Sus scrofa: one gene and its partners. The protein of the gene in region 1 interacts with the protein of each later gene in a pairwise test. Links are inferred from orthologs where the notes say so. Each region holds a gene or a part of one and is shown in the gene's direction. Other genes may lie near its edges.

The links.
Region 2: the proteins of C6H1orf216 (region 1) and PSMC6 interact in binary tests that used the Homo sapiens proteins (3 or more experiments, as listed by UniProt). The two-hybrid records come from large-scale screens. The link is inferred for Sus scrofa from reciprocal best matches to the Homo sapiens genes C1orf216 and PSMC6.
Region 3: the proteins of C6H1orf216 (region 1) and USHBP1 interact in binary tests that used the Homo sapiens proteins (3 or more experiments, as listed by UniProt). The two-hybrid records come from large-scale screens. The link is inferred for Sus scrofa from reciprocal best matches to the Homo sapiens genes C1orf216 and USHBP1.
Region 4: the proteins of C6H1orf216 (region 1) and CCDC114 interact in binary tests that used the Homo sapiens proteins (3 or more experiments, as listed by UniProt). The two-hybrid records come from large-scale screens. The link is inferred for Sus scrofa from reciprocal best matches to the Homo sapiens genes C1orf216 and ODAD1.
Region 5: the proteins of C6H1orf216 (region 1) and NUP62 interact in binary tests that used the Homo sapiens proteins (3 or more experiments, as listed by UniProt). The two-hybrid records come from large-scale screens. The link is inferred for Sus scrofa from reciprocal best matches to the Homo sapiens genes C1orf216 and NUP62.
Region 6: the proteins of C6H1orf216 (region 1) and MYRIP interact in binary tests that used the Homo sapiens proteins (3 or more experiments, as listed by UniProt). The two-hybrid records come from large-scale screens. The link is inferred for Sus scrofa from reciprocal best matches to the Homo sapiens genes C1orf216 and MYRIP.
Region 7: the proteins of C6H1orf216 (region 1) and AMOT interact in binary tests that used the Homo sapiens proteins (3 or more experiments, as listed by UniProt). The two-hybrid records come from large-scale screens. The link is inferred for Sus scrofa from reciprocal best matches to the Homo sapiens genes C1orf216 and AMOT.

What each region holds. Positions count from the first base shown.
Region 1 is NC_010448.4:91,887,614-91,892,026, reverse strand, and holds the start of C6H1orf216 (UPF0500 protein C1orf216 homolog), read left to right. Parts: upstream 1-1,523; 5' UTR 1,524-1,737; intron 1,738-4,302; 5' UTR 4,303-4,307; coding exon 4,308-4,413.
Region 2 is NC_010443.5:182,327,573-182,331,924, forward strand, and holds the start of PSMC6 (26S protease regulatory subunit 10B), read left to right. Parts: upstream 1-1,497; 5' UTR 1,498-1,595; coding exon 1,596-1,722; intron 1,723-2,752; coding exon 2,753-2,832; intron 2,833-2,927; coding exon 2,928-2,967; intron 2,968-3,213; coding exon 3,214-3,266; intron 3,267-4,352. UniProt on the Homo sapiens protein: Component of the 26S proteasome, a multiprotein complex involved in the ATP-dependent degradation of ubiquitinated proteins.
Region 3 is NC_010444.4:60,410,121-60,414,441, forward strand, and holds the start of USHBP1 (Usher syndrome type-1C protein-binding protein 1), read left to right. Parts: upstream 1-1,508; 5' UTR 1,509-1,874; coding exon 1,875-2,036; intron 2,037-2,123; coding exon 2,124-2,272; intron 2,273-2,502; coding exon 2,503-2,941; intron 2,942-4,321.
Region 4 is NC_010448.4:53,730,457-53,734,114, reverse strand, and holds part of CCDC114 (coiled-coil domain-containing protein 114), read left to right. Parts: intron 1-136; coding exon 137-219; intron 220-328; coding exon 329-497; intron 498-2,363; coding exon 2,364-2,527; intron 2,528-2,613; coding exon 2,614-2,717; intron 2,718-2,993; coding exon 2,994-3,072; intron 3,073-3,141; coding exon 3,142-3,658. UniProt on the Homo sapiens protein: Component of the outer dynein arm-docking complex (ODA-DC) that mediates outer dynein arms (ODA) binding onto the doublet microtubule. Involved in mediating assembly of both ODAs and their axonemal docking complex onto ciliary microtubules.
Region 5 is NC_010448.4:54,942,874-54,947,204, reverse strand, and holds the start of NUP62 (nuclear pore glycoprotein p62), read left to right. Parts: upstream 1-1,499; 5' UTR 1,500-1,620; exon of another isoform or gene 1,621-1,824; intron 1,825-2,050; exon of another isoform or gene 2,051-2,138; intron 2,139-4,331. Other genes in the region: ATF5 (cyclic AMP-dependent transcription factor ATF-5), read right to left, coding at 1-79. UniProt on the Homo sapiens protein: Essential component of the nuclear pore complex. The N-terminal is probably involved in nucleocytoplasmic transport.
Region 6 is NC_010455.5:24,515,033-24,518,690, forward strand, and holds part of MYRIP (rab effector MyRIP), read left to right. Parts: intron 1-943; coding exon 944-1,581; intron 1,582-3,658. UniProt on the Homo sapiens protein: Rab effector protein involved in melanosome transport. Serves as link between melanosome-bound RAB27A and the motor proteins MYO5A and MYO7A. May link RAB27A-containing vesicles to actin filaments. Functions as a protein kinase A-anchoring protein (AKAP).
Region 7 is NC_010461.5:92,644,925-92,649,031, reverse strand, and holds the start of AMOT (angiomotin), read left to right. Parts: upstream 1-1,169; 5' UTR 1,170-1,602; intron 1,603-1,665; exon of another isoform or gene 1,666-1,684; intron 1,685-2,635; exon of another isoform or gene 2,636-4,107.

The sequences.
Region 1 (4,413 bases):
AGCAAGTGGGCATCCAAGCCGCATCTTCGACTTACACCACAGCTCATGGCTGGATCCTTAACCCACTGAGTGAGGCAAACCCACATCCAAACCCACATCCTCATGGATACTAGTCAGATTTGTTTCTTCTATGCCACAATGGGAACTCCCTCCGCATATATATTTTTAGCTGGGGGAGTACCCAAAGCTTGAGTTACTTCTTCCTTTTCCGTTTTATTTCCTTTTCTCTCTTAAAATAGTTGTCCTAATCATAAAATGATTTTTCTCTTCCACTTCCTTTATTTTGTTTACAGGATGTGTTGGTGTGATTTAATTTGCCATTTAATCTCTATTGCAGAGTGGGAAGTTAGAATTAAGCTGGGAATGGAAGAGGATGCCTCATCATAGAGATCAGACTCAAATTCTCTTAAAAAAAAAAGCAAAAGAAAGGAGGGGGAAAGACAATGGTATTTTCTAATGTATTACGACTCAAAAATGAATCCATATTAGTTTAGTTGAGGGTTTTTGTTGTTGTTGTTGTTTGTCTTTTGTAGGGCCGCACCCATGGCTTATGGAGGTTCCCAGGCTAGGGGTCCAACTGGAGCTGTAGCCGCCGGTCTACACCATAGCCACAACAACGCTGGATCCTAGCCGCGTCTGTGACCTACACCATGGCCTGCCAGAACCTTAACCCACAGAGTGAGGCCAGGGATCGAACCATAGTCCTCATGGACACTAGTCAGTTCGTTAACTGCTGAGCCACAACAGGAACTCCTAGTTGTGCTTGTTTTTAATTGGCAGGGGGAGGGGGGAGCATGGGGAAGTTATAGCCAATTGCTTGGTTTGTCCAGTAAAGGTGAGGGTGTAGAAGGGATCTTCTGGAAGATCCTATGACCTGAAGGCTAAATTTGTCCCATATTTTTTTCTGGGGCTGCCTCTCCTTAACAGCCAGTGCTTTTCGGTTTTATCAATAGAGTCAGCAATTACTCTGTTCATTAAATGACTTTAATCAGATAAGCACAAAAGAAACATATAACTTTAAATGGTGATAGCTGCTATTAAGAAAAGGAATAAAACACCCTGGAGGATAACATAAAAAGGGGGGACTAATCTGATCTGGGAGGTTAGAGGTTTTTCTGAGAAGAGATCCGAAATATGAGATGGGGGAGAGAATTTTCGGCAGAGAGAACAGTGTGGCAGAAGGGGCGTGAAGCCCAGCTGCAGAGGCGAGGGCACAGGCTGAAGCCGCAGAGGTGAAGCAGGATGCTCAGAGCCCCACGGCTGCTGCCCTAAGGATTTAGCCTGCAATGCGGAAGCCATTGAATGGTTTTAGGCAGGAAGGTGGAGACATGATCAGATTTTCATTCTGAAAATGTCACTGAATGTGCAGTGAGGCAAACCGATCGGAGGGATCCTGTGAACGCAGTTATGAAATAAAACAGAGTCTGCAAGGGCTGGGTCAAAGGTGCCGAAGGCTCAGGAGGCGGTTCCAGCGCTCCGGCCCTCGCGCGGCTCCGCGGAAAACCGAACCGACCCACGTGGGCCTGGCCGCCCCGCCCCGCCGCGCTGACGCCGCGCGACTCCGCAGTCCCGGCCTGGGTGGGAGCGCGACACGAAAACCCGCACCCACGCCCCTGCCCGCGTGGACGCCCAGGCCAAGGGACAACCCCCCCCCGCCCCCGCCACAACCCCGACGGAAGAGTTCCCGCCGCGGGCCTTCGGAACAGAGCTAGCTGGGCGGGCCGGCGCCTCCAGGCCGTGAGTGGGGGCCCGGAGCGGGAGGGTTTGGACCCCTGCCGCAGGGGGCGGGGGTCGCAGCCTCGGCCCAGCTGCCTCTTTGGGGGAGATTAAGGAAGGGCCGTCAGTATCCTCGGTCTCCCGGGGTAGTCTCCTTCCCCCACCCCCTCAAGGCTAGGCAGGAAGGGGGGCTGCCTCCTCCCACCCTTACAGAGCGCCCCACCTCGGCAAATTGCTAATTAGCTTGGAGAGAAACCTGATCCTGGGCTGTCTCCATTCCCATTTTACCGTCTCTGAGAACCCCGTGATTCTTAGTACCACCTCCACTCATCCCAGCTTCCCTCACGGCCCCCGCCCAAGCTTAGAAAAAAAGAAAACATTGGGCCAGGAAGATCTCCAAGCCCCTTGCTTAACAGGATGGAGTGTGTAGGTTACAAAGGGACTGTCCCTAAACCGTTGCTCCTAGGACCTCTTCCCACTACTGAATGTGGGAAGGGTCCCTGCTCCCTCCACTTACACTATCCCTCACTCTTACTGAACCCCCACTTTTTCGAATCCTAGTAATATATGGTCAATAGAAAGCTCTCGTCAAGTAAACACTAATTTTGGGAGAGGTCGGTTGTTGGGGAGGAAGAATAATGGGGCATGCCCTCTTTCCAGGGCCTCAGGATGGAGCAAGCTAGAGGCAGGGGCACCGGGATTGTGCTAGACATGGAGGCTTCAAAGGGCCGGGTCAGGGGAGAGAGGCTTGTCAGTGGGGGAGGGGGTTCCTCTCTGAGCAGAGGGGCGAACCTAGGCTTCAGCTGTAGCCTCTGCTACTGTTGTTGGGGTCTTCCTGAGCATAGATATCCCACTGCAGTCCCCCTCCCCCATTCACACACTCACTCGGCAAGGATCTACTGTACCTGGTTAGTGCCAGGCTCCATACTGGCTCCTGAATATGATGGAAGATATATAGAGGAATTCTATCTCTAGTCACAGAGCCAGAAGTGGAAGCTGCTATTGTAAGACAGATAAAAAAGCAAAACCCCAAAAACTTGAATAGACATTTACTGACCATCAAGAAACAAACATGGGAGTTCCCGTCATGGCTCAGTGGTTAACGAATCCGACTAGGATCCCTGGCCTTGCTCAGTGGGTTAAGGATCCGTGAGCTGTGGTGTAGGTTGCAGACACGGCTCGGATCCCGCGTTGCTGTGGCTCTGGCGTAGGCCTGCAGCTACAGCTCCAATTCGACCCCTAGCATGGGAACCTCCATGTGCCGCAGGAGCAGCCCAAGAAAATGGCAAAAAGACCCAGGGCAGTGGGGATTCAGAAGAAGGCACAGTTAGCTGTGTTAGTGTCTTTTGGGCAGAGGGGAGAATATCCAGATGGCTTAGAGAGGTGGGGCTATTAGAGCTGAGTTTTGAGGTACAAAAAGGAATTGTCTGGGTGGCAAAGGGAGGAGTTTGGAGGGAAGGGGAGAGGAAGGGTAGTGTAGGCCAAGGGAACTGTGTAATGAGAATAATGGTGTGTCCTGAGATCTCTGAGCAGTTTGGGGTGGTGGGAGGGGCAGAGTGGCAAGAAGCAATTCTGGAGCCGTGAGCAGGGGCCAGATGAAGCACGGCCTTGTAGGCCATAAAGGGGTTTAGCCAGAGTTTGTTGGGGGGAGCCATGACAAATTTACTTTTTTTTTTTTTTTTTTGCTTTTTAGGGCCACACCCTGCCATATGGAGGTTTCCAGGTTAGGGGTCAAATCTGAGCTACAGCTGCCAGCCTATGCCACAGCCACAGCCACACAGGATCCGAGCCGCATCTGTGACCTACACCACAGCTCATGGCAACGCTGGATCCTTAACCCACTGAGTGAGGCCAAGGATCGAACCTGCAACCTCATGGTTACTAGTTAGATTTGTTTCCACTGTGCCACACGGGAACTCCCAAAGTTAAATTTTTAACTAGAGGCAGAGAGATCAGCGAAAAGGCCACAGCAGTCAGTAATCCAGAAACAGCCCTAACCAAGTGAAAGCGAGGGGAGATGTATGTACAGACGCACGTTCTCTTTCTCTTTCCCTCTCTGTGTCTCTCTGAGGTTTTTAAGAGAAAGAATTGTCTGAATTTGATGGCTAGTGAGGAGGGAATGAAGCAAGTGAGGAGTCCAGGCTGCTCTTGATTCTTAGCTACAGTGACGGACTGGAGAGTGGGGCCGTCTTGCTGCGGACATGGAACGGGGAGAGCTGGTCTGGACATGGGGAACTTGAGGAACCCAGGCTTGGTTGCAGAATTTGGTAGCTGTCGGGTCTGGGCTGGAGACAGATCTGAGTGCCCCAACACATGGTTGTTCTTGAAGCTACAGCAGAGCATGAGGTCATTTGGGAAGAAGTGCATTAAGAGAAGACAAGCTGCCTCCCAGGGCTAAGGGAAAACCCTGTGAGGAGATGGAAAATCGGCAGACAGAGAGGGGGGAAGAAGACTGCAAAGGAAGGTGTTACCAGAGTGGAGGGAAAGGGGCTGAGAAGGAGAAGCCTTGTCCTGTGGCCAGGTTGTCTCAACCTCAGCAACCCACACCATCCTGCTTTGACTACATTCTTCTGCTTCCCTTTACAGACCAGATGTTTGCCGTCCAGCCAGGGGTTGCTGAGGGGGCTCAGTTCCTGGGGGGCCCGCCTCCTGCAGTATGTCCACCCGAGCTTCAAGCCGACAGTAACTCCAACTTCA
Region 2 (4,352 bases), on another chromosome or scaffold:
CTTGTGGCCATAGCGGGAACTCCAGCACAGGAATCTTAAAAACAGTTCTATCTAACTTCAAGTTTCTTAGCTTACTTCAGCCTCTTGAGCCCCTCATTTCTACGACCCGCCCCTTTCTGGTTTTGTTGGTCTCCTTCCTGTTCCAAGAAATGAGTAAATCTCTTTTTCACTTTAAGGTCTTTGTAGCTGCTGTTTCTTCTGTTTGAAAGGTTTTTTTCTACAGTTTGTTGCTTGGCTGGCCCCTTCTTGCAGATATCTGTCCTAAAGTAGTTCTATCTTTCTCTCATTTTCCTCCACCATGGTTTCTTTTCATTATAATACAGTATTTATTACACTTTGAAATTATTATTTTTTATCTCCTCACCAGATCAAACCCTTAGTAATGCCTCATTCACTGAGTAAATAAATGAATACCCTACTCCTTCTGTATCCTGAAATCCTGTGATTTTGGAGAGACAGCAATGAGTGTTGGCTTGGAGAGAGATCTTATTTTTCTGCTCAGGAATTGAACCTGGGCAGCCTGGATAAAAAACCAGGAATCCTAGCCACTAGACTAGCTAGAGGTGAAAAGTAGAATTGCCCTAACTTTTGCCCCTTGTTGAAAGCAAGAACATTTCAGGGAGGCAAAGACTGTGAAAATAGGTATAAAGTTTATTGTTAGAGTCACAGTACAACATATGGGAAAGCACACAAAGAAGCAGTTTAAGTCAGAAGCAGAGAAGTAATACACACCCCAAAGAGGAGTGCGGGTGCAGGCGTCCCCTGAGTGAGGGGCACACCAGAGAGGTGATTTAAATCACTTATATAGCACAATTCTTCTGGATCTTTCTTTACCTTTGGCTAATTATCTTATTTATTTCTCACACCTGACTGGACACAGGACCCTTCCCAGTATATGTGCGTACCTTTTGGTAAAGATGGATTCCAAAGCAAAGTGTGCTAAGCAGGTATCAGGACTTATTATGGCCTGGTGCCTCCTCCTTTTCTGACCCCCTAGGAATCTTACTGTGCATGTGTAATTGGGGAGGTCTTCTTTACCCCAGGAGTGATTAAAGTGGTCATCTTATCTTTCTACTCCAGTAGAGCTCTGCTCCTGCAATTAACTTTTTCCTTGAAGTGCCAAAAAGAAACAAGGCCCAATTTGCTTGACCTAAGAAGTCCCAGCTGTTCTCAGCCCAGGGGCCCATCTACCTCTTACTTCACCTGGATATTATTGTTCTTTACCAAGAAGCTATCCTTGTTTTACTGAGAAGCCAGTAGAGCTATATATATTAGAGAGATATGTATATTCTCTATTTCACTTCCATCTCAGTTTACTACAGCCTTTTGTGGTTCCAAGAGGGCAGTGACTCAAGCATATCAAGGCTTCTCAGATACACCAGATCAGGGCCTTGCTTTACCCAAGCGGACCAGCAGGGGACAGTGTGGCCGGAGGCCTCCTTTAACTCACTGCGGAGCCCTAGTGAAGGAGGCATAGAAGTTCCGGAAGAGGAGTGCAGAGGCGGGCCAACCGGAAGGGGCGGGGTCGCCCGCAAACCCGCCCTTCCAGGGAGGCTGTTCTCCCTCGCCCCGCCCCTTCCCCCGCCCAGGCGGCCATGGCCATTCCCGACATCCCCTATGAGCGACGGCTTCTCATCATGGCGGACCCTAGAGATAAGGCGCTTCAGGACTACCGCAAGAAGCTGCTGGAGCACAAGGAGATCGATGGCCGTCTCAAGGAGTGTGAGTGCACCTTTCTTTCCATATAATCTCGTGTCTGAACTCGCTTCTGTCTATGACAAAGCAGAGGCCTTTGGCCGAGCTCGGCAGCCGAGCACCGGGAATGAGAAGGCCTCGGTCTGGGGACAAGGCGCTTTGTCATCCCTCCCTGTGCTTGAAAAGCGGAGCCTCTTCGGGCGTAGAAATGGCCCAGACTGGTCCAGGTGACAGAGAGAACACCCCCAGTTCTGAGATGGAAGTGTAGATGACCAGAGGAGGAGTGGGGAAGAAGTGGGTCAGGGATGTTTCCCAGTTTGAGGTAAGGAGTGCAGTGTTGTTGGAGTCCTGGGACCCGGAGCGGGGAAAAGAGTTAAGCAAACCAAAGCAAGAGATGAAACTCGGGAAGTTGGCTCGTTAGCGGAGTGGAAAGCCCAACACAGAGCTTTAGAGAGAAGGGATCCATCGGTCAATAATAGCCCTCCTCTTCTTTCGTCGTGTTTTGAGTAGTACTCTACATGGTACACAAAGTTCCCTTTCTTCCTGAACTGAAAAGATTGTTAGGATTTTTTCTTAGTGTACCGTCAGTGAAAAGCCTGAGTGATTTAATTAAATGGGGGAAGACCATAACCATATAATTTTGTGGAGCGCCGCACCTGTGGACTTCATATGGGTTAGAAAACCAGAGAGTAACAATCCGTGTGGGTAAGTGGAGAAGTGAGGAAGGCTCTAACTCTTTTATCATTCGAATTTGTGATCTCAAATTGAAAGTGTCAGAATGTCAATATCTGTTAAAAGTGTAACCTAAAATGTGCTCAAAGTAAGTATTTACGACCAAGAAAAGAAAAATGTGGTAATTTCTCTGCAACATTTCGTTTTTAAACATGTCATCTGCAAACGGTATTGTGCGTGTGTGTGTGTGTGTGTGTGGTTCGATAGAGTGGATATGAAATATATGTAAAGTGAAATAGACTTGAATTTAAGTAAAGTGAGACCTAGTGACAAACACACTGGCTAGGATTATTTAATTTAAAATATTCAAATTATATTATTTCAGTAAGGGAACAATTAAAAGAACTTACCAAGCAGTATGAAAAGTCTGAAAATGATCTGAAGGCCCTACAAAGTGTCGGACAGGTAGGTAATGGAGCTTGGGATGAGAGGGTGATGGTAATTTGCTTTGCTTTTTTAGTTCTTGGCAAAAAGTAATGCTTTTTTTTTTTTCTTTTTAGATTGTGGGTGAAGTACTTAAGCAATTAACTGAAGAAAAATGTAAGTGTATTAGATTGTTAATTGGTAAAGAAAAAAAGAGTAGACTCTCCTCCCACCACCATCTTTTGAAATGCTTATTATTTTTATAACTGTAATGAGGTAGATAACATTCTTGCATAGACTAAATTTTCTTTCAATTATTGTCCTTTGGCGAACAGAGATAAAACTCAACCTTCCATCAGTGTAGGTATATTCATTTTTTTTACTTTGTAGTTTTCAATTTGTTTTTTAATTTTCTTTCTCTAGTCATTGTTAAAGCTACAAATGGACCAAGATATGTTGTGGGTTGTCGTCGACAGGTAACAATTTATTTGTATAGTGCTTTATAACTGACAAAGCACTTTCCTCTAAGTTATTTAATTCTTAAGGTAAGCAAGTCAGGCATTATGCTCATAACTCCCAAAGGTAACTTGTTTAGACATATGTAATTGTTAGCAAAGCCTGAACTATGGATTTGACTCCTGGTAGTTTCTACTTTCTACTGAATTGCATTGCCTCACTAAGTTCTACACACTAAGAAATCAAAGAATTTTAGAACTGAAAAAATACCTCAGATTGTTTCTCTCTTTCTTTTTTTTTTTTTTTGGTCTTTTTTTAGAGCCACACCCATGGCATATGGAGGTTCCCAGGTTAGGGGTCAAATCAGATCTGTAGCCACTGGCCTACACACAGCCACAGCAACGCCAGATCCCAGCTGTGTCTGCTACCTACACTACAGCTCATGGCAACGCTGGATCCTTAACCCACTGAGCAAGGCCAGGGATCAAACCTGCGTCCTTATGGATACTAGTTGGGTTCGTTACCACTGAGCCACAATGGGAACTCCTCAGATTGTTTTAATGTTGACATGAAAGTATTAGACCTTATAAGTAATATTTTATATTTAAATATAAAAAATGTTACTTATATGGTACATATGTACAATGGAATATTACTCAGCTATGAAAAGAATGAAATAATGCATCTTGCAGCAATATGGATGGACTTAGAGATTATCATACTAAGTAAGTCACACAAAGACAAATATCATATCACTTATATGGGTATCTAATGAAAAACAATACAAAATAATTTATTTACAAAACAGAAACAGTCACAGACTTCAAAATTAAACTTTATAGTTACCATAGGGGAAATTGTAGGGAGCGGAGGGATGAATTGGGAGGAAGGGAAATACACACTACTGTATAAAATAGGAATTAACAAGAACATCCTATATAGCACAGGGAAATTTACTCAATAATTTGTAGTAACCTATATGGGAAAAAAGAATGGCTATATGTATAACTGATTCATCTTATTATATACCAGAAACCAATATAATATTATAAGTCAAATATACTCCAATAGAAGGGTTTTTTTTTTTTTTTGCTTTTTAGGGCCAT
Region 3 (4,321 bases), on another chromosome or scaffold:
TCGAAACTGGGGCTCGGATATGATCCCTGGCTCAGGAACTCCATATACTGCAGGGCGGCCAAAAAAGAAAAAAAGAAAGAAAGAAGGGAAAAAGGAAAAAACTCTCATAACACTGGTAAATGTATATATACCAGTACACACACATACACACACCCACACACACAATGGAATACTACTCAGCCATAAAAGAATGAAATAATGTCATTTGCAGCAACATGGATGGACCCAGAGATGATCATACTAAGTGAAATACACACACACACACACACACACACACACACACACACACACACACACAAAGCAAGGTGGTCTCTTGTGGCACAGCAGGTTAAGGATTGGGTATTGTCACTGCAAGCTGCTTGGGTTGCTGCTATAATGCAAGTTCAATCCCTGGCTCAGGAACTTCTATATGCCACAAGCACAGCCAAAAAAAAAAAAGTCAGTCAGACAGAAAAAGACAAATATCATGTGATATCATTTTATGTGGAATCTAAAAAAAAAGATGCAAATGAACTTATTTACAAAACAGAAATAGACTCACAGACATAGAAAGCAAACTTACAGTTACCAAAGGGGAAAGGTAGGGAGAGGAATTAACAGACACACTACTGTATATAAAATAAACAAGAAGGACCTACTGTATAGCATAGGGAACTGTATTCAATATCTTATAATAATGTATAATGGAAAGAACCTCAAAATAACTTTAAAAGAATATATAGTATATATACACATATATAACAATCACTTTGCTGTACACTTGAAACTAATATAACATTTTAAATCAATTAAACTCCAAGAAAAAGTTGTTGATATTGGGAAAAAAAACAAAAACCAAAAACTCCTATGACACTGTAGGAAGATAAGGAAATTGAGACTCAGAGGGGATCATTACTTGCTCAAGGTTACCAATCCCAGGTCTGTGACTGAAGTGGAACAAAAATTTTGACCCTGGAGTTCCCGTCATGGCTCAAGGGTTAACAAATCCAACTAGGAACCATGAGGTTGTGGGTTTGATCCCTGACCTTGCTTGGTGGGTTAAGGATCCGGCATTGCCGTGGGCTGTGGTGTAGGTTGCAGACGAGGCTCAGATCCCTCGTTGCTGTGGCTCTGACATAGGCTGGTGGCTGCAGCTCCGATTTGACCACTAGCCTGGGAACCTCCCTATGCCGAGGGAGCGGCCCAAGAAATTACAGAAAAAAAAAAAAAAAAAAAAAAAAAAAAAGAATTCTGACCCTGACAGGCAGAGAAAAGAAGTTTGCAGGGGAGCAAGATGAAGAGCATCAGCTCAGGGGAACATCCTGGCTTCTGGGAAATTAAATCCAAGAGTCAGAGATGGAGGAGCCATGGGCTTGGTGAGACAAGGAGGGACTGACATCCTGGGAGCTAGACATGTGTCCTCCTGCTGGGGCTCGAGGAAGCCTCTGTCCTTCAGGAGGAAACTGCACAATAACAAGTCACATGGCCCTGGGAGGGGGTTTCCTGTTTTCCGGCCCCTCCCAGGCTGGCCTTGGCCAGCCCAAGTCTGAGCAGGCAGTAGCCAGAGTTACCCCAAGAGTGTCCAAGGACTTGGTCCTCTGACCAAAGTGCCCCCAGAGTAATAGAGAAGTAGAGCAGGCTGAGGGGACCAAACCCCAGGATTGGAACTTCCGGTTCAGGAGAGCCCTGGCAGGGAGAGGGGACCATTGAAGTCCTTGCCATAAGCCCAGATAGGGGAGGGAGGGGAACAAAGACGCAGTGAAGAATAAGAGAGGCAGAGGAGAATGGGGAGGTCAGGGCAACCTTGAGAGGTAGTGAGCTTCCCGTCAAGGGAGGCATTTAAAAGTGCCAAACCATCATTGATAACTCAAGATCCTTCCAGAGAAGTGAAATCGATGTCCATTACACAGAAGAAATTGAGGCTGGCATTCACTTTGAGTTGGGATCAGGTTGTGATTTTAGGGGGTGAGGAAGACTCAGAAGACACTGATTTCTGGATAACAATGAGTGCCAGGGCCACGCGGCCCCGAAGCCGGCGAGGGAGGCATGCTTTGCCCGTAAGTGTCCCCTGTCCCTGCCACACCCATCTCTGTGGGACCTCAGGACCCAGACCTGCCTGGCTCAGTCCTAGGGATCATTTGCAGGGTGAGCTGGACCCTGTGGCAGAGAGTTCAGAGGAGGCCGAGGCAGCCAGTGGGAGCTCTCACCTGGGCCCTGTGCCATCTCAGGATAGCTGTAAGCCGGAGCTGCTGGGCCATGAGGTGGAGGCCAAAGCAAAGAGCCTGGAGAGCAGGTAAGGCCTGTTTGTCCTGTGACCCCTACTCCAGGCTGGGCACATCTTTCCCACCCATAGATCTGTTTATGTCCCTCCCCTACTCACATGCATGTCATGGCTCCCACTGCCCTCAGCCTGACTTTCAAGGCCCTGTGCAATGCAGTCACAGCCTTGTTACAAAGCCTCTGTGTGTTAGCCACCCCAGATGACCCCATTTCTAGAACTTTCCATCTCTCACCTCTTCACAGGCCTGACAAAGAAGTTGATGGGGACTCTCACGGGGGGCCAGCTCTAGCTCCAGAGAGGCCCCATGAGCCTGCAGAGGAAGCCCGTCATGCCCCAGAGGCAGCCCCACGGGAAAGGGAGACCAGCCCTTCTGAACCTGGAGCCCCCGATGTGTTTCAGACTCTACAGCATGCTCTGAGCTCTCTGGAAGCGGCTGCTGCTGCCTGGCGCCACAGGCCCCCAAGCTGTGCTGGGCCAATGGAGGCAAAGGACAGAAGCGAGGGGGGACCGATGCCAGGCTTGGAGCAGGAGGGGGCTGGGAGCTGCCAGCGGGAGGCAGCCCGATTGGCTGAAAGGAACACCTGGCTGCGTTTGGCCCTGGGCAGCCGCGAGGACGAGCTGATCCGCACCCAGTCCTCCCTGAAGGCCTTCCAGGCTGAGAAGGAGAGGCTGCAGAGAGAGGTGAGTGGGGCAGCCTGCCTCCCAGGGTTCCCTGTGTGAGGGAGGAGGCGGTTTGGCACAGGACATGATCAAGTTCAATCATTTGTGTATTTGTAAGGCTTTTATGGAGGCTTGGCTGCTGAACCACAAACAGACAAAGGTTGCTTGCAATCTTAGGTAAAGTGATCAGGGAGGCCCACTGAGGAGGTGACACTTGAATAAAGACCACAAGGAGGGGAGTTCCTGTTGTGGTGCAGTGGAAATGAATCCAACTAGTATCCATGAGGATGCTGGTTCAGTGGGTTGGGGATCCGGGGTTGCTGTGAGCTGTGGTGTAGGTTGCAGACGAGACTCAGATCTTGCAGTGGCTGTGGCTGTGAAGTAGGCTGGCACTGTAGCTCCGATTTGACCTCTAGAAACACACACACACACACACACACACACCACACACACACACACACACACACACAAGGAGGCAAGGTAGGAGCCATGCTAGTGTTGGGAAGAGCATTCCAGGCAAAGGGAACAGCATATGTAAAGGCCCTGAAGTTGAAGTGTGGTTGATGTGTTCAAGGAACAGTGAGGAGATCGGTGTGGGGCTGAGTGGGAGGATACAGGGTATGAAGGTGATGGGGGCAGATTCTTCAGGGCCTGTGGGTCACAGGGAGGATTTGAGCTTTTTTTTTGCTCTGCAGTAGGTGAGAAGCACAGAGGATTATGAAGGAGGGAGGGTTGAGACCTCACGCAGGCGCCCTCTGGCGGCTGTGGGAGGAACCGCTGGTGGAGGGAGAGGGTGGAATCTTGGAGATAAGGGAAGAGACACTGGTCCAGAGGTGTATCAATGGAAGTTGTGCAGGTGCCTAGAAGAGGGCAGGTTCTAGATAATGTTGAAGGTGGAGTTGGCAAGCGTGGGTGTGAAAGCTAGAGAGGGCTTGAGAACGAGTTCTGGGTTGGGGGTTTGGGAGACTGCAGTGGAGGCATGGGGAGTCTACCAGAGGGGCAGTTTTGGTGGGAGGGAAACCCGAGTTGTGGTCTCTGATTAGCTCCAGATGCCATGAGCCACCCACATGGGGCCATTAAAAGAACAGCTCTAGGAGTTCCCATCGTGGCTCAGTGGTTAACAAATCCGACTAGGAACCATGAGGTTGCGGGTTCGATCCCTGGCCTCTCTCAGTGGGTTAAGGACGCGGCTTGGATCTGGCGTTGCTGTGGCGTAGGCTGGTGGCTACAGCTTCGATTTGGTCCTTAGCCTGGGAACCTCCATATGCTGTGGGAGCGGCCCAAGAAATGGCAAAAAGACAAAAAAAAAAAAAAAAAAAAAAAAAGGAACAGTCCTACATCTGAGTTCAGAACTCAGCAGATGTCAGAGTGAGAAGGACCCAGGTGGTGACACTAGGGGTT
Region 4 (3,658 bases), about 38 Mb from region 1:
CTCTTTCCATCTCTGGCTCTCTTTGTGTCTTTGTCTTTCTCCATATCTCTTTCTCTATCCTTCCTGAGCCTGTCTCCGTGTGTCGCTCTGTCTGCGTGTCCCTGTCTCTTTGGCCCCTGCCTTTCCCGCCCGGCAGTGGAGGAGCGGAACTTCGCGGAGTTCAACTTCATCAATGAGCAGAACTCGGAGCTGGAGCACCTGCAGGAGGAGATCAAAGAGGTGAGCGGGACCGCACCCTCCCCAGCTCCACGCAGATTGCCCCCTCCACGTCTCCTCCTTCACGCCCCCTCCGGAGCTGGGCCCAGTGTGGCGCCCCGATCGATGGCAGATGCAGGAGGCCTTGGTGAGCCGGCGCCGCAGCGAGGAGGACCGGCGCGCTCAGCAGGAGCAGCAGCGGACTGAGTTGCAGCAGCGCGTGGACGAAGTGCACACGGAGGCCGAGAACCTGGAGGCCCGCTTCCAGGACTTTCGCGGGCAGCTGGAGGCGCTCAAGACCGGTGAGCAGCCGCTCGGCTTCCTCTTCTGGAAGGATGCGATGAGCAGTCGCAGAGCCAGCCCAAGGCGGGCCATGTGGAGGCATTATACGGACCGCCTTGTGCACTGCCTTGTCGGTTTTTCCCCTATCCATCCATCACCCATCCTCCTCATGCAGAGTGCTCGAGAGTCAGGCTGCCCTGGCTTTGAATCCCAGCTCCACTATTGTGAACCTTGGCGTGTGGTTTCCTCCGTGGAAGCCCTTCCGGAAGTGGGCTGGCAGAGTGCACTTCGTAGGGTTGTCATGAGAATTAATGGGATGATGGGTGGAGAGAGACAGAGGTGGGGGTGGTAACAGGGAGCGAGCAGGCAGCCACCTCGTGCTGCACAGTCAGAACCAGCAGGCCTTCTTTCCCTTTGTCTCAGGCACTGTGATGCCAAGCGCTGTGCTAGGTGATGAGGGCCCGGCAGGGAGGGGGTGGGAGGAGACAGATATGGGCACTGGGTACTTGTAACCCAGGGGCTGGGGTGGAGGACACCCTGGGCCCTTCAGAAGCAAGAGGGTGCCTTAACGCGGGATGCAGGACCATAATTTGGGGGGCCCAGTGCAGACTGAATTTGTGGGGCCCCTCGTTTAAAAACCGGCAAGGACTTCAAGTGGCAGTAACAGAGCATCAGACCAAATGTGGGGCCCTGCTGAGCACCGGGCCCTGTGCCCGTGCATCTGGCTCTGCTGGAGTCGCAGGAAAAGGAGGGTCTCCTGGGAGCAGCGATGCTTCAGGTGGATTTCGAAGAATAAGTATTTAACTGAAAAACGGGACGGGGAAGGCTCCCAGCAGGTGGGGCCAAGGCTTGGAAGTGCATTTGAGGACCGTAGGCTTTCTGTGTGGAGGGGGATGTCAGGGTGCGGGGTGGGAGTTCAAGAGATGCCAGGCGGGGGCACTGGAGCTTTTTCCTGGGGGTGCTGGGGAGCCATGGTTGGTCTGTGAGCAGGAGAGAGTGGGGTGGGGGGGAGGGGGCTGAGGATGGAGAGGAGGGGACAGAGCACAGAAGGTCTTGGCTGATAAACCCTGGGGTGGGTGAGGCACACAGGGTCTGGCATGGTGAGGGTGACGTGCGGACCTGGGAGAAGAAGCCCCTGTGGCCCTGAGCTCGGTGAGCTCGGTGTGAGCACTGCTGTGGGATGTTTTGGGAGGGACCATGGGAGGAAACTGCATGTGAGCCCAGAGCTCAGGTGGAGGAGGCAGGGGTGTGTGATGAGGCTGTGGTGGATGCAGGTCTTTGGCCATGACCCTGATGTGTGGAAGTTCCAGGGCCAGGGATCAAATCCTCATCACAGCGGAGACTGGAGCCACAGCAGGGACAATGCCAATCCTTAACCCGCTGTGCCACCTGGGAACTCCCGTTGGCTGCAGGGTTTCGTCAGAGTCATGGGCGCCTTCTTATTTCAGTCACAAAAACCAGTTCACTAGGTGCAAGGGAGCCACGCACGGGCCGTTGTGACAGCGGGTCAGGAACGCAGCCTCGGCGCCCTTGGGGCGCCTATGCGTGTTTCTGTGGGGGAGACACCCTGGGCTGCGGACTCGCGGGGTTGGTTAGAAGTTGGGTGCTTCTAACTGCGCCGGGTGAAGACATCTTTCCGTGTGGCGGTGCCCTTCTCACGTTTCCCTCTGACCTCCCTCCCTTCTGGCCTCCTGTGGTCCCGAGCCCCGGGCAGGGCCCCAGCGATGCCCTCTCACCGCCGGACATCTGATCGCTGGCATGTCCCTTTCCATCTTTGAGCTTCGCCTGCGGTCCCCGCGGCCCAGGCAGCAGGGACTTGAGGGGGAAGAGAGGGAGGGCCTCCAGGGGACACCGGATCGGTGACCGCCTGTCCCCTCTGACCCCAGCCATCCAGCGCCTCTTCACCAGGGCCCAGTGTGACAGCACACTCATCAATGACCTCCTTGGGGTCAAGACCCAGATGAGAGACCGGGACATAGGCCTCTTCCTGGGCCTCATCGAGAAGCGGCTGGTGGAGCTCTTGATGGTGCATGCCTTCCTGGAAACCCAGGTCCGGGTGCAGAGGGCGTGGAGGGGGGCAGGGAGCCGAGGCTCGGAGGTGGGTGTGCGGGGACCACTGGCTTCTCCTTCCTCCAGAGCTACCCCTTCACCAGCTTGCCTAGCGCTGCCCTCATGGTGCTGGGCCAGAGCCCCGAGGAGCTTCTCAAGAAGGTGGTCCTGCCTCTGCCCCCTGACAATCTGTGAGTCAGAGGGCAGGAGAGTGGGGGTGGGGATGGAGATCCCACGGGGACGGGGGGACACATGGGGGGTTCTCTCAGAGACTGGAGAGTGGGGGTGGCTGGGGCGGGGGGAGAAGATGGACTGGGTGCTCTTCGGGAAGCAGAAGGAGAAAGGGGGCAGGGCGCTCGGGGCTGCCCAGGGCCCAGTTGGGGGGGGTCTCTGGGCCGAGCTATGAGGAGCCATCGGCCTTCAGAGGATGGAGAATACAGTCGGGGCCTGCCTTCCCCCCACTTTAGGGAAGAGCCCCCGGGCTTTGAGGCCAGAGACGACTATCCGCTGAGCAAGGAGGAGCTACTGAGCCAAGTGGTGAAGTCGGTGAGAAGGGGCGGCGCGGGGTGGGGGGAGCTCGGCGGCCTCGGGGGCCCTGACCGGCCTCCCCCACAGCTGAAGGTCCAGGAGCAGGCGCGGGAGCAGCACCTCAAGGAGTTGGCCGAGGCCGTTAAGAAGGTGGACAGCACCCCAAGCATCACCTTCTCCCAGAAGGCCAGCTCCAGCACCCGCCTGCTGCCCAAGAGCCCCAGCGCCATCCCGGGGTCCATCATGAGCCACAGGACTAGCGGCATCCTGGTGGCCGGCGGAGGCCGCGCCCCCAGCTCCAATGTCGGCCACGTCACCTTCGGGGAGCCCAGCTCCAGTGCGGGCCGCATGACCTATGGCTCCACCAGTGCCACCGGGGCACTGGCGTCCAGCCGGAGCTCGACTGGGGGGCGTGTGACCTTCAGATCCCCCAGCTCAAGTAGCTACCTGGGGTCCACTGGCTACTTGGAGTCCAGCAGGGGCCACGAGAGCTTTGGCGGCCTGGAGAGCAGAGGCCCTGGGTCCGAATCAAGCGGAGGCCTCGGGTTCAGCAGAGGCCAGGTCTCAAGCACTGGCCCAGCCTCTAGCACCGGCCAGGGCTCCA
Region 5 (4,331 bases), about 37 Mb from region 1:
AGTCTACGAGCCAGCCCAGCCCGCTAGCTGGGAGCAGGGTCCTGTCCAGCTCCAGCCCCAGGGTCGCCAGGAGTGACATGGCTGCAGCTCGGGTGCGGGGCACAGATGGCAATGAAGGAGGCTGCACCAACAGCTGGCAGGAGGCTCTGGAGATTACTCAGCTGGGCGAAGACGGGCACCAAGGCGAGAGTGGAGGACCTACGAGTGGGAGACAAAAGTGAGTGGGTTAGGGGCCAGCCTCGCCAACGGCCAAGGCCATGGGGAAACCAAGCGATACCCCCTCAGGTCCCCAGGATTCCTTACCTTTTGGGAATTCTACATCTGCCCTTTCTTTCCTCAAATGGGGACCCCACCCATTCCCAAGGGAATTTTCTTTAGGCCCCGACTTACTTTTCCTCAGAATTCCCTAGACCCAATCCTTCCAATATTGAAACATAATGGTGTCCCAGGGGAATTACCTTAAGACCCTCCCACCCACCCCATAATACTATCTCTCATGGAAAAAAAAAAAAAAAAAAAACACAAAAACCTCAATCCCAGGGGAATTTTCTTCCAGCCACACCTCTTGCCCTAAAACATATCCTTTAGGCCCCACCCTGTCCCTAGATTCCTGCTGTGAATCTGTTCCCAGGGGAATCCCCCTGCCCCGCCCCTTCATCAAAATCCTCCATTCAAATCCCATTCTTCCCTTCGAATTTTGCAGTGGTCTCCCGTCCCCCCAAGCCCTGCCCCCTGGTTTATTAGCTCCACCCTCCCCGACGATTCCCAGAGGCCCCGCCTCTTTCTCAATATAAACCCCACCCCCTCAGCGCACGGCGCGCTTAGCCACGCCCCTTCTCCCAAAGGGTACCCCGCCCCCGCCCCACCCTCCGCGACGTCTCTTATCCTAGCTCCCGTCCCTTAACTGGTCGTTTCTAAGCCCCGCCTTCTCCCCCCGCCCCCGCCCCCGTAGTTGCTTGAAAGAAAGGGAGGGAAGACGTGCTTTTACGCCTGAGCAAACTGGAGGGAGGCGGAGGGTGGAGGGGGGCGGGATGAGAACAGCTCCCGACTCCCCCTCCCCCCACCCCCGTACACGGCTGTCTCGCCGAGGGCCAAAGCGCAGGCTCCAGCCCCAGAGCTGTCCTATTGCCCCCGCAAGGCTCCGCCCTCCTCGGGATCAGTGCTGCGCACGTGCGGCTGCTGCTCGTCAGCCCTTTGCTCCGAGATACAAGCGCCGGTGGATCTGAGCAATCGCTGATTGACAGACTCAATCAGAGCGGGGAGGAGGGGGGAAACCCACCCTCTCTGGGAGCTAGTGCGCAGGCGCAAACGCATGTGGTCGTCTTTAAACGCCAACATTGTCTGGAAGAACGCACCCTCCCCCCATCAGCTGAGTGCGCATGCTCCGCAGCGCGCAAACGGAGCGTCTTGTCTCTTCTGCGCCTGCGCGACCGTGATTCCTCACTCTTGTCTCCCCACCCCCCCGAGCCCGGTGGTGAGGGCCGCGAGCTTGGAAAGGGCGGGAAAGACGGTTGGAGAGGGAGGGGCGAGCGAGCGGTTACTCACTCCATGGCTGCGGAAAGAAGAGGCGGCGGTGGCCTCAGCTGAAGAAAGACGGCAGGAGCGGAGAGCGCAGGCGCGGTGAGCACGGCGACTGGCCGGGGGCACAGAGGGGTCGCGGCTACAGAGCCATGGCTGGAGCTACGCGGGCGGAGGAGGTGTCGCGGTACTGTGAGGAGAGATTGTGATCTGAGGATGGGGAATGAGGCGGCCCGGGGGACTGGGGACAGATATACCGGGGGCGGCGCAGCACGGCGTGCCCGGATCCTTCCGCGCCCCGCCCCGCGCTGCCCCAACCGGGAGGCGGGCTTGGCCTCTAGCCCTCGGGGATCCCGGGGACTGTCCCCCACTTCCGACCAGGGCGTTCAGCCCTCCCCTTCCTCTGACCTGAGGATCTGGCCCTGCTTTGCTCCCGACCCCCTGGACCACCCCCACTCGGGTGGGGCCCCTTTCTCCTTCTGATCCGGGGTCCGGCTTTCTGTTCCCTCTCATTCTGGTGGTTCAGCCTCACCTCTTCCCCGATCCCTGCACGAGTTCATTTCTCCTTTCCTTTCTCTTGCTTCACGAATTTCCGGCCAGCCACGTGCTGATCTCTTCAACTGCCACGGCACTCTGAGAACCCTTGTTGTGGCTTAGGATCTGGTTTGAGTCACAGACCGCGCTCCATTCAAATCGCAGACGGGCGCGGGTGGCCTTGGGCAAATAATTTAAATTCTCTAGCCTCGTAGATAGGGAACTACCTGTAAAATGAGAATAATCACCTCTTCCTAGTGGGGTCGTTTGTGAAAATCCGTGCAGTCGGTGTCTGTGAAACCAGCCCTCCTTCATGCCTGGTCCAACCGCTTTTATTATCCATAACAAGGACCTCTGGGGACCAGTCTCACCCCTTCCAACTCCCCTGGCCAGAGCCCCAGACTCGACCATCCAACACCTGCTAATAGATCATTCTTGTGTCTCCTTCGCTCTAGCATCCCTGCCCTCCCCCATTTCAAACGATGGACGCTCAGCCCCATCCTGCTGCCGGGAGCAAGGCATCATTGCCCAGACTCTCGTGTCCATCCCCTGCTGGCTTCCCCTTAGCCCTTATCCTTAGCACGCCTTTCAGGCCCGTTGGTTCATTCTTCTGTCCCTGCCCCTCACCTAGACGTCCTTTCAAATGGTTTTCTACCTCCGTGCACCCCACCCTCACCCCCAGATCAGTTTTCCACCTTTGCCAGACTTAGGGAGATCTGTAGTTCCATTTGCTGAAAGAGATGGGGCTTCCTGGCCAGTCCCTCCCATTACACAGGGCCTTCCACCAGACCCCGTAGACGAGGGTCTTTGCTGCAAGCCCCTCTCCTCCCCCATTCATCCACATCTAGACGTTACACCTGGAGTACAACTTTTCAGGACTTTGGTGGTGGTTATGAGACTGAGTCAAGATCCAAAGGTGGGAGACCCAGATCTTGAGTTACCTGGAATGATACATGGGCCTCTTTTGTTTTGTTCCATGTGCATGTGCTTTTTTTTTTTCCAGTTTTACTCAAGATATAATTAAACTTTATAAATTTAAGGTGTACAGTATAACAATTTGATTACCCATAAGTTTAGTGAACATTTATCATTTCCTGTAGATGTGAAATTAAAGATATAGAAATAGGGAGTTCCCATTGTGGTGCAGCGGAAACGAATCTGACTAGCATCCATGAGGATGCATGTTCAATCCCTGGTCTTGCTCACTGGGATAAGGATCCAGCGTTGCCATGAGCGGTAGTGTAGGTCGCAGATGTGGCTTGGATCTGGTGCTGCTGTGGCGTAAGCCGGCACCTGTAGCTCCGATTCGACCCCTAGCCTGGAACCTCCATATGCCTTAGGTGCAGCCCCGAAAAAGACCCAAAAAAGTAAATAAATAGATACTTAGAAAAAATACATATTTCTTTTTTTCTTTGGCAACTCCATGGCATATGAGTTCACAGGCCAGGAATCAGATCCGAGCCAAAGGTATGACATATGGAAGGGTTTATTCTCTCTCTCTCTCTCTCTTTTTTTTTTTTTTTTTTTTTTGCTTTTTAGGGCCACATCTGAGGCATATGGAAGTTCCCAGGCTAGGGGTTGAAATGGAGCTACAGCTGTCAGCCTACGCCACAGCCACAGCCATAGCTATGCAGGATCCCAGCCACATCTGTGACCTGCATCACAGCTCACAGCAACACCAGATCCTTAATCCACTGAGCAGGGCCATGGATCGAACCTGCATCTTCATGGATCCTAGTCTGGTTCGTTAACCACTGAGTCACAAAGGGAACTCTGGGTTTATTCTCTTAATAACTTTGATATGTAACATACAGCAGTGTTAATTATACTGATCATTTGATATATTACATACCCAGTACAGGCTGCTCTTCCTACAGGAAGCCCTTTTTGGGATCTGACCCCGTTCCCTTAGAGTACTTCCTGTCCACTGTGCCAGTATTTGAGCACTTGTCCTTTGGGGCCACATTATTACCTAGGCGGCATGGAGTAGTAGTTAAGAGCACAGACTCTGGAGGCAAGTTGTTGGATTCACACCCTGACTATACCCCACTTATTAGCTTCCTGGCAGTTTCGCTGTGCCTCGGTTTCCATTAATAGTGCCAGAACAGAAGTCCTCTGGTGGCCTAGCAGGTTGGGGATCTGGTGTTACCTCTGTGGCTCTGGTTATTACTTGGTGAGGGTTTGGTCCCTGGTCGGGAAGTTTTGTGGGCGCAACCAAAAAAAAAAAAAAAAATAGTGCCAGGATAAAAGTGACTAGAAAGTGCCAGGAGTTTAGTGAC
Region 6 (3,658 bases), on another chromosome or scaffold:
ACAAGTAGAGTCCATAGCATGTGAAAGGTAATAACACCCTGGTTAGCCTCTTTTCTGAGTGTTCACACAGTCAATGAAAATATATTGTCACAGTATTGAATAGGAGATAGACATTACCTGCTTGCTATACACATGTACAAGGCGTACATGGGTGCTGATCCTTAGTTGGATGTTAAATAATAATCCAATTCAGTGGAGAGAAGATAAAACAGCTGGGGGCCCTCAGTGTAGCAGGCACTATGATGGATGCTTCACATGTGCTAGTGAACATAATGATCGCCCAACAGCCCAGGAAGGTCACACTGTCTCCGTGGACAGGTCAGGAAACAGGCTCAGAGATGCTCTCTGACCAAGGTCACCTGCTAGTAATGGCAATGACTGGGGCTCAGCCCTGGCTCTTCCTGAATCCAGAGTTCTTGTTCTTTGCCCTGCCCTACAGTGGCCTCACTGGTGGGTCCAGGGGAAAGAGCTGTTAAGAATTTGTTTTTGCTCTGAGCAGGTACGTGTAACACATTTTATGAGCCTTGCCTCATTTCATCCAGTGCCCTTTTCACCAACCAGAGCCCCAAGCTCAGACACTCACTCACACAGCAGCTAAGGAGACGAGCAGCTTTCTACCCAGGCCCTCTGATTTCACAGCCTCTGCCCTTTCCTCTGCACAAGCTGACCTGGGGACAGTGAAGGCCAGGATGATGACTGAGACCAGATCTCCCGCAGGGCCCTCGTCGTCAGGGAGAGGGCTCCGCCCTGTGCCTGATCAGCCAGAACACAAGCCAGATCGTGCAATGAGCCACTCCGGTTGTCACAGCCACTCAGAGAAGGAGGAGGCTACATCAGGTGGGAGGCCAGGAAGTGCTCCAGGAAGAGGGGCACAGAGGAGAACAGCCCCCTGCTCTGAGGCGATAACAGCCCTCTCTCGTTTCTCTCTCCCTCCTGCCTGTAGGTGCTGCCCCAGTTTTGCAGAGCCCTGATGGGAACTGGATGGCCCTCAAGGATGGGGCTCTGCCCCCGACCCGCCTGCTGGTCAAACCTAAGAGCGGCACCTTTCAGGCCCTGGAGGCAGCCTCCAGTGTGGCATCTGCCTATGATGAGATGGGCTCCGACAGTGAGGAAGACTTTGACTGGAGGGAGGCCTTGAGCACGCTGTGCCCTCAGCCCCAGGGCCTGCCCAGACACCCGCAGCCTCAGCCCATGCAGGTCCAGGGCTCAGATCAAGGCCCCTCTGCCGCCTCTGCCTCCTCCGGGCTCTCCCCCAACCCCGAGGCCATGTGCTCTGATTCAGAGACCTCCTCCGCAGGCTCTTCCCGTGAAGCTGGGCACCAGGCCAGGCTGTCCTGGTTGCAGAGGAAGGCCCCCAGGAACCCCGTGGCTGAGAAGATGCGCCTACAGGGAGAGCTAGATGTGAACTTCAACCCCCAGGCAGCCAGCAGGGAGACGTCAGACAGCAGTGAGCCTGAGGAAGCCCCCCATGCTGCAGATCGGCGGGCTAAAAGGTGGAGAAGGGCCCGGGGGGGCTCGGAGGAGCCAAGCAAGGAACTGTCTTCCCCCAACGCCCATCCTCCAGAGGGGGACACACATCAGGTAATAAAGCTGGGTGTGTGCAAGTGCACACACATAGTTCTCTAGGCTGTGCCCTCCTCCAAGCAGGAGTGGCATAGAGTCCTGGGTTCAGAAGCCACAGATCCAGGGTCTCATCTTGGTTTGGCTGCTAAGATGCGTCACATCAACTCTTGGAGGTGCCACATCCTCCTCTCTGGAGATGAGAGCTTAGAGTTCAAAGAGAGTTTGCCAAGTGTCCAATAGCAGACCAACAGCAGCAGCAGCACCTGGGAACTTGTTAGAAATGCCAATTCTCAGGCCCTGCCCCAGATCTGCTGAATCAGAACCTCTGAGGATGGAGCCCAGGCATCTCTGTTATAACAAGCTCTCTTGGTAATTCTGCTGTGCATTAAAGTTTGAGGGCCACTGGTGTGGGGTTAAAGGTATGGGGTTTAGAATCAGCCTGCCAGAATTCAAATCCAGCTGTGTGACCTTGGGCCAGGCATCATTTTAAGTCTCAGTTTCCTCATCTGTCAAATGGGGATAATATCAGAACCCACTTCAAAGAATGGCTTGTGGTGAGTGAACAAGATAACTTTATAAAGAGCTGAGCTCTATCCTAGTACACAGCACAAGCGCTCAGTAGGTGGTATTTCAATGTGATCACTCAGGGCACAGTTTACTAACATTCTGTGATTCTTAGTTCACATCACAAGCCTTCTCAGAATCCTCAGTGCTCAGTGCCTTCTTCCACATGGTTTAGTTCATGAACCCCCTTTGGGAACCTGGTTAATGCTCTAGATTGTCTCCATAGAAAAATGCACCTGTACACAAACACACACACACACACCTTACAATTTCAGGTAGTTCATGGACCCCCAACCAGATTAATTTCATATTCTCTGAATACATCCTGCTTGTCCCCCACTCCAAGCCTGTGATCATGCTATATCCTTGCCCTCACCTCTTCCTGGCTGTGATCACTGTGGACTGAGTATTCAACTTTGAGATGCCAGCTCTGGCCTTCCCCTAGCAATATTTTCTTAACTCAAAAGTGACACATGTAGCCTGGAAAGTTTAAATGACCTTATATAAGCCACAGATTGCACTATTTGCAACTGTGAGCCTGATGGAAGATCTAGTTATGGTGTCTTACCTTCTGTAGACACATCATCATTGCTACTCCCACGACTATCAACTTGACTTTTTATGCTCCTAGAGAAACCACACCCACCTTCTGAATGTCACTGCATCTCCTATAGTACCCTGCTACCATGCCCTGCATCTTAGTTTGAGTTCCACCAAAAAAGCAGGTCCTGAGTCAAGGATCTGGATGTAGGTTATGTGGAAGGAGATCCCAGGAAGCCCAAGAGTGAAATGGAGAAATGAGAATACAGTATAGGCAACTGGGGCTCCATCCCACCAGGGACCTGCTGAGAAGCCGTGAGGACCACAGCTCAGATTTCTCCCACCAGAAGATGGGGAGCAGTTGTCCAGTCTCCCATCTGCCACTGGGAGAGCGCAGTCCCACCTAGGTGGGCAGAAAACCCACACACGGCCAGGTTTGCATGGACGACGCCTGAGAAATCTCTCAGAGAAGAGAGAGATCCAGGTCTGAGATGGGAAACTATCAGTGGGCCAGGAACTGTCCCCCGTGGCGTGGGTCCAGGGAGATACAGCCTGGGACATCACCAGCATCTTTACAGTGACTGTCTATGACTGGCTCAGTCAGATCCCTGATCCTGGGGCCCCCATGAAGATAGTCATGAATTCAGAGATTCTTGGATCACAGAATTTAGCAGCAGTACTGCCTGACCTGCCAGTACATTACCTAGAAATTCGGTCCAAGCTCTAATTTTCTCCTCTGTAAAATACAATTACAAATCTGACATGTGAGATTGTTGTGATCATAAATTAGAAATGTGAAATTCTATTCAGTGGCGAATCATTATCTAAATCAAGTGGAGACTGTTTTGTAGGAACTCTGGGTTACTTTGCCCCAAGGAATATTCTTGAGGGTTGTCTGCATGATTCACTTGCAGGTATGAAATGCTATGTATGCCCCACAACTAGATGCCTGAAACTTCCTCTTTATTCTGAGGTGGCTTGTAAATTGTCT
Region 7 (4,107 bases), on another chromosome or scaffold:
TCCAGGTTATTCAATTTCTTTGTGGTTTCGTTTCCTGGTTGTAAAATGGTTGATTTTCAGTGTCCTGAGCGGCTGTTCTCAACCCTGTGTTCTTTAAGCAATACCAATTTTTCGCAGCCTGGAAATGTGAACGCCACATTGACACTTCTCGTACTTTTTTTCCTCCTCTTGGGCTAAAGAATTAGGGAGGAAGAAAAGTTACCTATTCCCAGAGGGCCGAGCAGTGCCACAAAGGTGTACTAGAGCCGGCCAACACTCTATCGCACTCTCTTAGGAGACTGAGAGACCAAGCGTCTCATCTTTCTTTCCGCAGCAATAGCTGGGGAAGAACCGAGAGCTAGACAATAGCCGCTTGTTTAGTTTTATTAATTTTGAGGGCGGGTGGGACAAAAGGATCGGATCGACGACGCAAGTGACCAATCGCAAGCGAACCCTAGGCCAGGAGTCGCCAACCGGGAACTGCCAAAGAATGGTGGGTGGGACTTACTCCTCCGGGCCGGCTCCGCCCAAGCCGGCCCTTCCTGCCCGCCCAAGAGGCGGAGGCTCCGCAGAGCCCCGCCCCCGCCACCCTAGCGGCCAGCGCGGCCAGCCGCGGGAGCGGGGCGGGGACGTAGGGTGGCGCGGGGGAGGAAGGGGGTGGCTGGGGGAGCGGAGGAAGAAAGGAGGGTGTCTCGCATAGTTGCGACCTGGGTGGGGGCCTGCTGGTCATAGGAAGCAAGAGGGGAAGGAAAACGGAGGAGCGCTGCTCCTTCCTGCATTATTTTAAGCAAGCTTTGCCTGAAGCTGCTTTTCAGCGTTTCTATTATTTGTTTTTCTTCCTCCCGCTGTGGGGCGGGGAGCTGCACTGGTTCTCCCACGCGACTCCGCTGCGCAGTTGCCGTACACTATTATTGGAGTCTTTGCAAAACCCTTTCCTTCCTCCCAGTCAGTCCTTGTGTAGACTCTCAGGGGTACTGTAACCGAGTCGAGCCGGGTTAGTGGAAGGACCAGAGAGTGCAACCCCGGCTTTCGCCTAGCGGCCGACCCTGGCGTTCAATTGTTTGAAACTTCCCCGCCCCCTGGCTCCGCCTCTCCCCCCCCCAACCCCGTCCAAGCTACTCCCTTCCTTCTTTCCCCGCCCTCTACTCCGCCCCACTCCCTAGTCCACCTCCCCTTCCCCCCCCCTCTCCTGGGCGGTCCTTGCCGCTCACCGCAAGAAGAAAAGCCACCCATTCGTCCCCCTCCCCTACCTCCAATCCTTTGCCCAGGAGCTGCCTTGATCGCAGTCACGCCCCTTCCTTCCGAGGAGATTTCTGGCTGCCCAAGCTGGTAGACCCCCTGATTTATTCCTCCATCTCCGCTCCCTTTCGCCTCATCTTCTCTTAGTTCTCACCGCCTCCTCCACCCCCACCTCCAGTCTGTCTCGCCTCCGACCATCCGCTGCTCCACCCTCCGGCCCGGTATCCTGCTTGTCCACTGCCACCAAGGAGAGCCCGGACCGAGCAGCGAGGAGGGGAGCAGCCGGGAGTTGGGGCTTCCCTCCTGCCCATCCCTGGCCTCCGGCCTGGGACGGAAGCCTCTTGAGCGAGCAGAGTCGTCACCTTGTCTTCGTTGCTTACAGGGGTAGGAGACGCGTGGTTACTTTTCGCGGGGATCTGGGGCAGGAATCCATGGTGGCATGAACTTGATCGTAACCTCAGCATGAGTGAGTCAATCTAGATGCGTGTGGGGATGCCTGTGTGTTCTACTTTCTTTGCAGCTGGCCGCGAGTTTTCCTGGATGTGCAGCAAGTTAAATAGGTTAAAGAGTGTGCGCTCCTTTCCAGTCCCACAAAGATGCTAACGGGTACCACCACTCGATGGTACTTTTACTCTCTTGCTTCCTGGGGTCCTTGTAGGTCTCTAGGTAATTAAGCACAAAAGGAATTAAAGACCAGAGGGAACTTGAGGTCTAGTAGGATTTAACTCATCAGGAATGTCCAGGCTTATCTCAGATTGTTAGATGCTTACTCCTAAATGCTTGGGGTTGAGCTGGCGGCTCACACTCCCCTCCCTGGGGGCTGTGAATTCTTGAAGTTAGTCTGAAGTGATCTACAATGCTACACTCTTTTAGGTATATATATATATGTGTTTGTGTGTGTGTGTGTGTGTGTGTGTGTGTGTGTGTGGTGAGGAGGGGGTTGCCACTACAGATGTTAGTAACTAGTTTTATTGGATCTTGCAGGTGCTTGAGGGTCCCAAGCCTGGGTCACTATATGATGGTTCTTCAACAGCAAGATGGGCTTATCAGTGTATGAAAATGAAAAGAAGGCAAAAAGTGAGAGGGAAAGTGACAGTCTTTTATAGACTGAGCTTTCCCTGGTAAATTGCCGCTAATAATAATATAATAATAATTTGCAGCAAGGGACTAAATACAATTAAATGAGAGAGGGAAGGGACAGTTTGTGAGAAACAGCATTCCAATCTCTAGCATGCATTTTGGAAAGAATTTTCTGACACCTTGGAGTGTCTAATTTAGTTTTCCTTCCTCCTCCCTCTCCTCCCCCACCCCCATAAAGAGTGGAAGTTGGGAGGCAAATTAAAACTTTTAAAAATATAACCCTCTTCTCCCATTCAGAAAGGAAGATAATTAGTCACCATAATCTTCAATAATGGAGGGCTCAGGGTATTTAAGTCTCCTTGAACTAGGCTTTGTGAAAAGTCCTTTCTCAGGACAGCCTTTGTGAAGCTTTCTCAGTTAGACCTTTCAGCACCCTCATTTAGTAGCTAAGAATAGTTTGAAATACCATTTTGGAAGTGGGATAAATCTTTACCCATCTCCCATCTACCTCCTATTGAGTAAGCATGGCAAACTCATAAGAATGGTGGTGCTTGAAGACCTATTACCAAGAGGTCCTCAACGCATTGCTTATTTGGGAACATATTATTTACTTATATTTTTACCTAATTTCGTTGGTTGATTTTAATGGGGGAAAAGAAAGCAGGAAGGAGTGAAGGAATGCTACAGGGTGACAATTTTAAAGGCTATCATATTTCAGATCGGCTGGGAAGGAAAAGTTGGCCTGACCAAACTAGATTTTATAACTGGCCTGGGACATTTTAATAGCCAGGTGGTTGTAGAGTAGTTGCATCTATTTACAGATGATAACTCAGGTTCCAGCTATTCTGTATGGGTTTATCCGGTGTCATTTGCAGACACTTTCTGGCACTACCTCATACCTCATTTTAAGATACTTCTTTCTTTGGAAAAGTCTGTGGCTCCGTAAAATTGAAAGTGCTTTTTCTTACTTCATAGACAAGATACGAAGTAAACCTCTGACCATACTTATATAGAGAGTAACTTTTACGTGAGAAATTGCGGCTCTGTTTACCTATTTAAAAGATTTTCGAAGGGAATTTTAAAGTTCACATTCAATACTCTTTTGGACTTGGAAATTGAAATCTCATTTCCGGTTTATGAAATAGGATTTATAGACTAATGAACCCTCCCCAAGCATTTTGTGTGGTTGCTTTTTCTGAAGTTTTGTAAAGAACGAATCAGTCTCTTTCTAGAATGCCTTAAGAACAGTCTATTCAGAAAGCAGAGGGATGGATGCTATGACCTTGAGGTCCCATTGAGTGCCAGAATTCTAAGTGGGTACATCTGCTTCTGTGCCTCTCCTAAGAGCCCTCTCCCAGGGCCCGCGCCTTCTTTAAAAGGGTGTCTTTGTAATTAAGCAGCCTCTCTCCCCCATCCCCCTTTCTTCCTTTGATCCAGCTTTTTAAGGCCTTTTTTCCATTTGGAGACAAGAGGAGTTTCTCACACTCTCCTACTCCCCTCTTAAGATTTCTTTTCTTCCCCCCTCCAAAAAAAAGTGCCCCGAAGTTCTCAGGATGGTTAGAAATTGTTTTGTTCTATTGGGGTGGGGGTGTTACCAATGAAGAGGTGTTGAGGATATATTCCCTCTTGAGAAATGTTTGTGACCAGGTAGCCTCCTCCATGGAGACTGAGCATTTGGAATGCATGAGAACAGTCTATTCTTAGGGACTGTCTGGAAGAAATTGTCCTTTGCACCCATTAAGCCCAGCTTAAACCCACTGAAAGGAGTGGAGAGAGGTGTGTGTGGTCGTGGCTGAGCCTTTTAGGATG